Cricetulus griseus: one gene and its partners. The protein of the gene in region 3 purifies or fractionates together with the protein of the main gene of each other region. This does not show direct contact. Links are inferred from orthologs where the notes say so. Each region holds a gene or a part of one and is shown on either strand. Other genes may lie near its edges.

Evidence for each region. Proteins that work in one complex are often made in the same cells at the same time.
Region 1: the proteins of Hspb1 (region 3) and Tgfb1i1 purify together in Homo sapiens (affinity purification with western blotting; 3 studies listed by BioGRID). This does not show direct contact. The link is inferred for Cricetulus griseus from reciprocal best matches to the Homo sapiens genes HSPB1 and TGFB1I1.
Region 2: the proteins of Hspb1 (region 3) and G6pd fractionate together in Homo sapiens (co-fractionation; 3 studies listed by BioGRID and IntAct, with this or other methods). This does not show direct contact. The link is inferred for Cricetulus griseus from reciprocal best matches to the Homo sapiens genes HSPB1 and G6PD.

The regions. Positions count from the first base shown.
Region 1 is NC_048596.1:72,567,129-72,571,237, reverse strand, and holds the start of Tgfb1i1 (transforming growth factor beta-1-induced transcript 1 protein), read left to right. Parts: upstream 1-1,309; 5' UTR 1,310-1,326; coding exon 1,327-1,513; intron 1,514-1,656; exon of another isoform or gene 1,657-1,740; intron 1,741-2,647; coding exon 2,648-2,763; intron 2,764-2,891; coding exon 2,892-2,944; intron 2,945-3,053; coding exon 3,054-3,196; intron 3,197-3,365; coding exon 3,366-3,453; intron 3,454-3,571; coding exon 3,572-3,677; intron 3,678-3,787; coding exon 3,788-3,982; intron 3,983-4,109. UniProt on the Homo sapiens protein: Functions as a molecular adapter coordinating multiple protein-protein interactions at the focal adhesion complex and in the nucleus. Links various intracellular signaling modules to plasma membrane receptors and regulates the Wnt and TGFB signaling pathways.
Region 2 is NC_048604.1:1,292,346-1,296,299, forward strand, and holds the start of G6pd (glucose-6-phosphate 1-dehydrogenase), read left to right. Parts: upstream 1-1,154; 5' UTR 1,155-1,281; intron 1,282-1,810; 5' UTR 1,811-1,818; coding exon 1,819-1,938; intron 1,939-3,954. Other genes in the region: Ikbkg (NF-kappa-B essential modulator), read right to left, coding at 949-951. UniProt on the Homo sapiens protein: Catalyzes the rate-limiting step of the oxidative pentose-phosphate pathway, which represents a route for the dissimilation of carbohydrates besides glycolysis.
Region 3 is NC_048597.1:114,890,713-114,894,012, forward strand, and holds Hspb1 (heat shock protein beta-1), read left to right. Parts: upstream 1-1,145; 5' UTR 1,146-1,297; coding exon 1,298-1,685; intron 1,686-2,308; coding exon 2,309-2,372; intron 2,373-2,487; coding exon 2,488-2,677; 3' UTR 2,678-2,800; downstream 2,801-3,300. UniProt on the Homo sapiens protein: Small heat shock protein which functions as a molecular chaperone probably maintaining denatured proteins in a folding-competent state. Plays a role in stress resistance and actin organization.

The sequences.
Region 1 (4,109 bases), on a different chromosome or scaffold from region 3:
TTGACTATGTGCATGTCATGGCTCCTGTGTGGAAGTCAGAGGACAGCATGAGGGAGTCACTTCTCTGTTTCTATCATATGGGTCCCAAACTCAGGTCATTTGGCTTGGCAGAAAGTGCCTTTACCTGCTGAGTTGTCTTACTGGTCTAAGACAAGTTTTAAAATGTCACTCACCTAAGGGGAAACCTGCTGTATTCTTAGGGTTTCTCAGCCCCATCTTAGTCACATTCAGAGAAAGGTGCTTTGCTGGCATTCAGATGAAGGAAGGGTCTCCATCATTGGGCTCTCAAGAGCCCTGGACTAAGCCTTCCAGGGTCTGGGCATTTCAGAAAGGTGAGTTAAGGTGGGGCTCTTGCTGCCCCTGAGTCTCTCTGGTTCAGATTGTGAATTTAAGATGTGGTGGCACACACCTTTAATTCCAGCACTCGGGGCAGAGGCAGGTGGATCTCTGAGTTCTAGGCCAGCCAGGGTTGTATAATGAGATCCTATCTTTGTAAAGGGTACTTATACCTGGTCCCTTTCCAGTTGATTTAGGCCAGCATGGATGTCTGTGCTGGGCTTGGGTGTTATAACCTAACTTTCTGGGTTCTGACTTGCTCCTGAGTTGAGCCCCATAGTCCATTGTTCAAATCTGTCCTCCAGGGTGCCTGTAAGACAGCAGCCACCTGTCCACACCCATCTCCAGGTGTTTCCAACTTGGTTTCTTAGAGAGTTGGTACAGGGAAAGCTTCTTGTCCCTCTGTGACTGGGGTCTGTATTGCTGCTTGCTTCCTCCTCTTTCATCAATATCTCAGCAAAGGGCTGATTTGAAACAGGCTCTGGTCACCTCAGCGCTAGGAAAGGGTTTTGTTTTACAAGTTGTCTGGGGTTTGTCAACCTGGGAGTTTACATGGGCTTAGGTCTTGTTTTTGCTCTCCCTGTTCTGTGTATCTATTTCCAGGTATGTTTTGCAGGGAAAGCCCTGACTTCGGATTGGTGCTCTCAGTATGAGACATTTCTTAGTGTCTTGCCGTTCGATCTCTATCTGGCTCCCTGTCAGACCTGGAGTCACTCCTGTCTCTAATAAAATTCTGCAAGGGACACGTATTTTAAAAATACCCTAGTGGGGAGGGGGCTCTGCATAGAACCCAGGTGCTGGCTTTGGGAGGAGTGGGCTTGGGGGGATTTCAGTTTATGGGGTTCCTTAGGAGGAAGCTACGGAAGAACCACTAATGATTTGGCTTCAGCTTCTGGGACTTGCCTCCCAGGCAAAGGCTGGGGTGTGGCCTCCTCTGAGCGGAGCCAGAAGGCTGGGTTGGTTGGGTGGGCCCTGGTGCTGTCTTTCTTCATGTCCCCATGCTCCCCCTTCATCGCTCCCCCCTCGACCGTATCCCAGCGGGTCCCGGCTTCCATACATGGTCACGGCCCTGCTTCTAACTCCCTGACGTCCCCCCCCCGTCCCCGCCCCCACCGGACACGGCCCCCGCCCTGCTCGCCCCAAGCTGTCTGCCAGCGCACCGCCATGGAGGACCTGGGTGAGTGGGGACCGGGTCCCCTTAGCCTCTCACCCCTGCCTGCATCTATCTTCCCCACTCACACCCCACACTTCTCCCATTCCAGTTTTCTCCCTCCATTTTCTCGCCTCTGCCTTCCTGTGCCTCCCTCCCAAATCCACGTACCCTTTCCTGTCTCTCCCTTCCTGCCTGCTCGCGATGCCGCACCCGCACCCTCCGTTCTTCCCTGACTCTGCTCCCTCAACCCGGTTTGTGTAATGGATTAGGCATTGAGATACCCACGGGGGCCTGAATTCAGAGGCTCTGGGAAGGAAGGGGTTAAGGGATCCTTGGGTCCAGAGACTAGGAACACAGACTGGAGAGGAGAGTGTGACATCAAGTTTCGGAGATGAAAGGGGGCCAGATAGCCTAAACCAGGGCTTCAAGAAGACAGGGGTAAGCCCTCTGAAGTATAGCAAAGGTCAGGTAAGTCCTCAGGGCAAGAAAGAGAATAACAGACAGAGAGTGCCAAGTTGACAGAAAAAAGTTTAAGGCTTCTGCCTAGATGCCCAGAGAAGAGTAAGGGGATCAGCGCTCATAGATCCAAAGCGCCCCAGGCGTTCTGCCCTCCCTATTTGCGGAGTCTTTGCTCCGCGTGACGAGATTTCTGCACCCAACAGCAGAGGGCGCTCCTCAATAATAGTACACGGATAAGAAATACACCAAAGGCAGCTCCCTGCCAGTACCTCTTGCCCCTGAGGAGAACTGGGTGAAACTTCATTGTGACCAAGAAGTGGGGAAGAATTAGTGGATATGCCACAGAGAACATCTAACCAGGAAGTTGGGTGTCAAGCATACAGGCAATTAAACAATTGGGAATTCAGTAAAAGCTAATCTTGGCTGCGTCAGGAAAGATGGAGAGAATAAAAGAGTTAAGTGACTAGGTTTGTACTTGGCTCCCAGGTTAAGCCAAGGGAGAGGTCATAAATACCTTCTGTTATCATCCTACTTCTTTGCCTTGGTCTGGCCCCGAGTTTGTTTCTTAACCTCTGCCTTTAACACTGGCTTCTATCTTTTCAAATACTGCCACTTGGAACCCTTTATCCTCTAACCACTTAAGACCTTGACCCCACCCCACCCCACCCCCACCTCTCACCTGAGGGCCTCTCACTGCAGATGCCCTGCTCTCTGACCTGGAGACCACCACTTCACACATGTCACGGTTAGGGGCTCCAAAAGAGCGCCCGCCAGAGACACTCACACCTCCCCCACCCTATGGCCATCAGCCACAGGTGAGATGAAATTCTGGGGGTCTGGGGCAGCCACTAGGAGGGCCTGGGTTGGTTTGGGCTAGGGAAAATCAGAGTCTGAGTGAGGCAGGGGACATGACTGCTCTTCCACACACCTCTACTCTCTGCAGACAGGGTCTGGAGAACCTTCAGGAGCCTCCGGGGACAAGGATCATCTGTACAGGTGAGAGGCCTGGAGACTGGGGCATGAAGATGGAGAAGAAGCCAGTTGAAGTTCAGGTGAGGGGACTTGGATTCCCCACCCTAAAGCCAGATTCTCTCCTGTCCCTTAGCACAGTATGCAAACCTCGGTCCCCAAAGCCTGTGGCCCCCGTGGCTCCTCCGTTCTCCTCTTCCAGTGGTGTCCTGGGCAATGGGCTCTGTGAGCTAGATCGTTTGCTTCAGGAACTTAATGCCACCCAGTTTAACATCACAGGTAACAGGGTTGTTCCTGAGCAATCATTGATGGGTCGGGGACAGAGCAAAGCAGGGCAGAGTTTAAGGGACACAGACTTCTCCAAGGAGCAGTTAAAGGACATAAAGCCTGCACTGGCAGGGTGAACTGAGTGTGCCCCTAACCTAGTGTCATTTTCCCATCTCTCCAGATGAGATAATGTCTCAGTTCCCATCTAGTAAGATGGCTGAAGGGGAAGAGAAGGAGGACCAAACTGAAGACAAGAACACACCCACTGTGTGAGTTTGGCATAGTTGACAAAGCTAGGAAGGAGATGATGGGTCCTGGATGTCTGAGTTACCATAGGGGGGTGTCATGCTGGCAGGCTCTAAGGTTATTCAACTGTGTTCTCCACAGTCCTCCCAGCACATTCCCTGTGCCCTCCAAGCCTTCAGCCACCTCAGCCACTCTCGAGTTGGATAGACTGATGGCATCACTCTCTGACTTTCGTGTCCAGAACCACGTGAGTCTGGAGGGATTTTGGCTGGTGTCGCTTTGTGGTTCACCAATCCAGTTTTGATGCTTCCAATTTGTGGCCTTGTTGATTCAATGTCCATGTACTCTTCACTGCAGCTTCCAGCCTCAGGGCCATCTCAGCCCCCAGCGGCGAGCTCCACCCAAGAGGGGTGCCCTTCTCCACCAGGACAGACGAGCAAGGGCAGTCTGGACACCATGCTGGGGCTGCTGCAATCCGACCTCAGTCGCCGTGGTGTTCCCACTCAGGCCAAAGGCCTCTGTGGCTCCTGCAATAAACCTATTGCTGGGCAAGTAAGTGCAGCCCTGAGAAAGGAGGCATATGCTCACATAGCCACCTTTGAGAACCAGACTCTGTGCTTTTCCCTTCATAAGTACTGTCTATTCTTTGAGAATTTAATGCATGCATACAGTATATTTT
Region 2 (3,954 bases), on a different chromosome or scaffold from region 3:
GAAAACAAAGTTTCATCAACAGAAAAATGTCTGTGAACTAAGAGTTCTAGCACTTGGGGCCAAGCCCTTAGGCGACAGATAAGCAGAGGGAAGGACAGAAATCAGTCCAAGTAAGCTGGGTCGCGAATCTGCACTTCTTGAATAAATGCTCTAAAAAGCATTCGAAAGCATGCAACAGAACAAACTGGGCCCAAGGTGGGGGGAAGGGGGCTCAGGAGCCTCGGAAGCTGCATAATGGCCACCGATGGAGCCCTATCTTTGGAGAAGAGGACTACACCTGTCAGCAGAGTCGGCCAGAAGTGAAGAGGGCCTGAGCAGCGGAACCCGACCTCTCAGATTGAATCGGAGCTCTCAGAAAGTCCTGGTTGGGCGGTCACCCTTCCCTTCTCGGCTGTGGAAACCCCTGCTTCCGGCTTCCGGTGTCGTAAGTGTGGGATCCGGAAGTAAAACACAGACTCGAAGTCGAGGAGATTAACTGGAGCTGCGAAGCCACAATAGTGCTGCATCCCACTCTGAAGAGAAGCCTCAGACCGCCAGCCTGCATTGGCTAACCGAAGAGCGCAACGCTCTTCACTGATAAAGATCACACACACACTCACACACACACACACTTACACACTTTTTTTTTTTTGATACAGGGTCTCTCTCCTAGCTATCCAGATCTACCTGCCTCTGCTTCCCGGGTGCTTGGAATTAAAGGCGTGTGTCACCTCGCCCACAGTTGTCCCCACCCCATTTTCAAGGCGTCGCATTCGCAATGAAACACCCCAGTTTTAGTCTGGTTCTGTCACTGGGCTCTCTGCCACCAGGTCCCTACCATGGAAAAAGCCTAGAAGAAGCTGCTAAAGGACGCCAAACCGATTGCAAGGGGAGGCGTGGCTATGCTGCTAACGGAAGTGGGGTCATCCAGGAGTGCGCAGGGACTCGAGGGTCCATCGGAAAACAGACCATAAAGTATGGCTGGGGTAGCGATGGGGACGCAGGAGAACTGTGCGGAGCTGTATCTGTGCCAGCAAAGCATCACGATCGCGGAGCAGGAAAGCAGGGACGGCCAACAGGGTGGGGCTGACAAGGGATGCGTGCGCACCTACTTCTGCTACTCTCCCCTCCCTCACCGATGGAGTAGTCCGAAGCTCCTCCTCTCCTGCCTCTCCTGAGGCGGGTCAGCTCAGTCAAAGCACCCGCCCTCCTGCGTTAAACGAGCCAGCTAAGCGCAGCCCCCGGAAACGAGCTGTGCACTCCAGAACTGTAAACCTGTTTGGCAGCAGCAACTAAACACAGGTAAAGGGGGTGGTCTGATAGCACACCGGTGGAGGGATGTGCTTCCCGCTTATGAGCCGCGTGTCCCTTTGATGAGCGCTATTTGTTATGCTTGGATATGGAAAAAGATCTACGAGGTCTTAACCCATCCCATTGTACCCCGCACTTCCCCGCATTAGGCCCATGAGGACTAGACTTTTAGAAGAGAAGGGTCTTTCTGGGATCATTTAGCTTGGCCAGCAGAGAGCTGGGGCTGAACTCCATCATCTGCACAATGAAAAGATGCTCAGTTCATTGTGGCGTTTCTGGCAGAGACTGGAGTGCGATGGCCCCAGACACAGTGCGATGCTCTGACCGCGTCGCTTTCCCAGAGTGGATTCCCTAGCTGAATTCCATTAATGCTTATAGAGATTTCGTAATGTACAGCCCCCAGAGAAGACAACATAGGATATGGCTGGAGCCCAGAAGCAGCAGTTTCTGATTCTGATAAGGTTAAGTTGTCAATGCTCTTCTGTTCTCCTGCCTTATCAATGAGTCTTTCTTCCACCAGAAAACACCATGGCAGAGCAGGTGGCCCTGAGCCGGACCCAGGTGTGTGGCATCCTGAGGGAAGAGTTGTACCAGGGTGATGCCTTCCACCAAGCTGATACACATATATTTATCATCATGGGTGCATCGGTGAGTCTCCCCTCAGGCCCTGAGTGTAAAAAAATCAAATGTAGCATTTTGCAAGGCACTTCTCTCTCTTTACCTGAACTTTCCCAACTGACTGCTAAGGGGCCACACAGGTTCTAATTTGAACTCACGGCATATGTTCCCACCTGTGTGTCCTGATCATCACAGCAGTCAGTACCTGCTGTACATCATGTACTTCTGTCAAATTTCTCATTTGCAAGGCTTTTCAGAAATCTATGTTCAGCCATTAAATGTGGGCCAGACTTGGAGCATGCAAGTTCTAAAGCACCATCTACTTGAACTTCTTCCTCCTGGATGGAAAAAAAAAAACTGAGGTGCAACCAGGAAGTGCTATTCAGTCTATATGTTTTCCAAATCTGTAATTTGACAAATGTTACAGTTGCTTTCAGTGAAAGGATCTGAGGTCCTGCCTCTGCCTCTTTTCTCTCTATTGCATGAAGTTCCCTGGAGGCAAACACCTACTCTTTACCACATCTTCCAGAGCCTACTGCAGATTTCTGTTGATTCCACCTGGTTCCCAGTTGTCTAACTAAAACAACTACCAATATGCTCTGTTAGGAAAAACTGAAGAACAGAAGCGTAGTCAGAGGGGTGGTGTGATGATGGTACACAGTGAGACTGGGGCAGGTGGGGCACCCTCTCATGTGCTTTGTGGAAGCAGGGCATGTTCAGTGACCAGGGTTTTGTGGAAAAGGTAAACTCAATTGCTTGCTTTTAACCCTAGAATCTGATCACCCTCGTGTTACCATCTTCACTATTAACTTATTGTGTAACCTTGAGCAAGAACTTCACTAGAGCTAATGTGTTATTGAGAGGGTAGCCACTACTAGCTCAGCACCTTGCACACTTTGGGCCCCTCAGTGCTGGGTGAACTCTGTGGTTCTTTGTTCATACAGAGCATTGCCACCCACTAAGGGTTAGGGCTGTAGCTCAGTGGTAAAGTACTAGGCTCTTATGCATGAGGCCCTAAGTTCAATTCCCGGTACTATCAAAAAAGAGGAAATCAGAACATGCCACCCCCTTTGCCAGACGTGTTCTTTGTCAGCCTTGTATTTCAGAGCAAAAGTGGAGTGAGAAAACTTAGAAAAGGAATGCAGAAACAGAGGAGAAGGGCTCAGCCACTGAAAGGGCAAGGGAGAGACACCCCCAAGGCACTGTCCCCTAACTCCCTATAACTGTAAGACCCAACAGAGGTACCCAGTTGGAACACACAGTACAGCAGTCCTACCCTCAGCCGTAGCACCAGCCTAGTCCCCTTAAAGGAGCCATGCATACATGTATCAACTACAAACCTTAGCATATAGGACTCTGACTATTAGGTCCTTCAGTCTAAATGACCACCTGGAAGAGAAAGTAACTAAGGATGATTTCCCCTGCCCCACCCATGCTTTTATAAGCTTGCAACAATAATAATCTAAACATCAAAGATAGTTTACAACTGGCAGACCTGAACTCTTAGATACCTCATTGATAGCTTGTTGTGTGACCTGGAACAAATGTCTCCATTTCTCTGAACATTAGTAGTCTTCATCTAACAAACAAGGGCCAGACAGCCTCTGGCTTTATCCTAGACTAATTATGTGAGTTCTAGCCTGAAATTGAGCAACTTCATTTCACTGCAATCGGTATGGTTCCCCTTTGCTCTCCTCTGCTCTGGAGTGAGAACTGAGGCTTCCAGAATAGAAATGTGAACTGCTAGCTCCAGCAGAAAGGAGTGGGGAAGAAAGAGAAGTTTGCTGAAGATCATCATTTTTTTTTCTCTGTTCTTCTCAGAGGGCCTGAGACAAATAGACCCTGTGCCGGGACAGCCCCCAGAATATCTCTTGCCTGACACTTTACTGAATGCATGAGGCAGGCAAAGTGCTGATCTAGGATACCTGCAAGTTCTCCATTCATTCAATGTAGCAATCAAGTGTCTCCTCCAATCCACAACAGCCTCAGTCCCTAGCCTCATGGGGACAGTGTCTTTTGGGAGCAAGCAAACCAACAGGATTTTAG
Region 3 (3,300 bases):
AGGAAAGCAAAAAGAGTGGGGGCAAAGGAGACTAAGAGAGAGGGGGTCAAGAGAGAAAGAGAAAACAGGGAGAGGACCAGGAGAAGGCACAGGTGGAATAGGAGGGTTATAGGGCAATGGGAAGCTGGGGCGAGAAGCCCACTAACTGGAGAACTTTAGGGTAGAGGGTGAGATGAGAAGAGCCAGCATTCCCTAACAGGTACTTGTGATGTTGCATGAGCCTGGAGGCCAGCAAGCCGCTTTGGGATGCTAATAGGCACGACAGATAGCTCTTTGTTCCGAGTTTCTTTTGTACCGGACACACAGCACTTATATAAAAGCTGAATCTGGCTAGTCATAGCGGGGCACGCCTTTAATCCCAGCAGAGGCAGGCAGATCTCTGAATTTGAGACCAGCCTAGTCTACAGAGTGAGTTCCAGGACAGTCAGGACTACACAAAGAAACCCTGTGTTTGGGGGAGGGGGCTGAGTGTGGCCACCTGTGCGGCTAATTCCTGTGCTGAGCTGGAAGGGTGGGGCAATTACAGAGACAGGAGGGCAGTATGGGGCTCCAGTATGCCCAGCCAGTTTGCAAGCTCCAGAGTCAATAAAAGACCCTGTGAAGGAAGGAAAGAAGGAAAGAAGGAAGGAAGGAAGGAAGGAAGGAAGGAAGGAAGGAAGGAGAAAGAAAGAAAGAAAGAAAGAAAGAAAGAAAGAAAGAAAGAAAGAAAGAAAGAAAGAAAGAAAGAAAAATCTATCAGGGCCAGATAGTTCAGTGGACGAAGGCACCTGCCACCAAGCCTTTGCTCCCCAGGATACACATGGTAGGAGAGAGCTGACTGTTGCTGGTAGCCCTGAGACCTCCACAGGTGTGCATGGCATGTGTGTGTCTACACAGGCGTCCCTCTGGTTCAGACCAGACTCAGTTGTTTCCCAGTTGGACACAAAGGACCTAACTTCCAACCGTAGTCTCAAAAGAAGGATGGGACAGGGCCGCAGGCCACCGCCCTTCAGCCCAGGCAGTGAATGCCCGACAGTGGGAACAGCTCCAGCTACCGGTATTACAGTCATTTGTTTTCTTCAACTAGAGAAGTTTCCAGATGGGGGCAGAACCTTCCTGGCCCCGCCTGCCTGTCCCCTTTGTAAGCTTAGGGGGAGGAATGCAGCGGGGAGGGCCGGCCCCTAGACGGTCATTGCCATTAATAGAGACCTGAAGCACCGCCTGCTAAAAATACCCGGCTGGACACCCATAAAAGCACGGCCGGGGCTCCAGTTCGGCACTTCTCGGATCATCTGCCCTGACCCGCACAGCCAAGAACATGACCGAGCGCCGCGTGCCCTTCTCGCTGCTGCGGAGCCCCAGCTGGGAACCATTCCGGGACTGGTACCCGGCCCACAGCCGCCTCTTCGACCAAGCCTTCGGGGTGCCCCGCTTGCCGGATGAGTGGTCGCAGTGGTTCAGCGCCGCTGGTTGGCCCGGCTACGTGCGCCCACTGCCCGCCGCGACCGCCGAGGGACCCGCGGCGGTGGCCCTGGCCGCGCCCCTGGCCGCGCCCGCCTTCCACCGTGCGCTCAACCGGCAGCTGAGCAGCGGAGTCTCGGAGATCCGGCAGACGGCCGATCGCTGGCGCGTGTCCCTGGACGTCAACCACTTCGCTCCGGAGGAGCTCACGGTCAAGACCAAGGAAGGCGTGGTGGAGATCACCGGTGAGTCCCCCTTGTCCCCACAGGGAGAAGCCAGCGGGCTGAGCGCCCCGGTGGCTGTACCGGGTGGGCGGGGGGAGGGTGTGAAGCCAAGAGGGATGGGAGCCTGGAAAGCTAGAAAGGAGCTCCGAGACCGGGAGGCCAGTGTCGTTCTCCCTGGCCAGCTTCCCTTGCTGCGGAACCCGGGCGCAGGCTGCGCCTAAGAGCCTGTCATCCTCGCTGATAAGGACCAACAGCTGGGGGTATAGCTCAGGGCAGAGCCTGGCCTGGCCTACGGGAAGCCCCGGGTTCTACGCACAGCAACGCACCCTCTGGAAGACCCCATTCCCAAATAAGGAAGTGCCAGGACTCCTGCCAGTGTCCCCGGTCCCAGCCACGGAGGGGGCCGGCACACAGCTCTGAGTGCGCCTGCGCTGGTGTCCAGCCTGGATCAGAGCCAAGCCCAGTATCCCAAATCCCAGAAACGAACTTTCTGGAAAGTTTTAAGATGACTCCAGGGAGTCAGGCATCTCACCGCACTCTCGTGTGTGTGCTGCCTTGGAGTCCCAGCCACTCCTTAGCAGGTGGTGGGGTCTGCTACCACACAGCAGAGGCTTGTCTCTGACCTCCTTCTGTCCCACCCGCAGGCAAGCACGAAGAAAGGCAGGACGAACATGGCTACATCTCCCGGTGCTTTACCCGGAAATACACGTGAGTTCTGGTTCCTTGCGTGGCTGGGTGGAGGAAAGCGGACCCAGGGAGGAGAACAGAGGGGCCGGGATCTGGAGGGATGTGTAACCCTTGTCCTGTTTTTCTTCTTGTCCAGGCTGCCTCCCGGTGTGGACCCCACCCTGGTGTCCTCTTCCCTGTCCCCTGAGGGCACACTTACCGTGGAGGCTCCGCTGCCCAAAACAGCCACACAATCCGCGGAGATCACCATTCCGGTCACTTTCGAGGCCCGCGCCCAAATTGGGGGCCAGGAAGCTGGGAAGTCGGAACAGTCTGGAGCCAAGTAGAAGCCATCAGCCTGCTGCATCCCCAACAGCCATCACTCGCCACCCCTCTCTATCAGTCTTTATGCTCTTTTGATACATGTACTTTCTGTTTTTCTCAAATAAAAGTTGGAAGCTACTGCTTGCCACCGTCTCAGACCCCGGTGTTTCTGGCGGGCTAGGGATGAGTGCTCCTTTGGTGTCTTTGCGATGGGCTCAGCCCCTTCTTGGGTTCAGCCTAACATTTCCCTAGGAAGAAGGAAAAAAATGATAATCTGGAGATTAAAATTTTACCAGGGTGGGGCTGGGCATGATGGTGCATGCCTGTAATTCCAGCACCCAGAAGCTGATGCAGGAGCATGGTGAATTTGAAGCCAGCCTGGACTACAGAGTGAGTTCCAGGAGTGCCCGGGCCACATACTTGTTGTCTCCAAAACAAAACAAAAAACAGGAGCTGGGGATGTAGTTCACAAGAGTGATTGTATGGCATGAGGCACTGTTTGACACCGCCCCCCACCCCCGCCCCAGCTTGCACACACACATCCAAAAGCATGGTAACGCATACCTGTAAGTCCAGCATTACAGAGGATCAGAAGTTTAAGGTTATCCTTGGCTATATAGCCAGTTTGAGGTCAGCATGGGACACA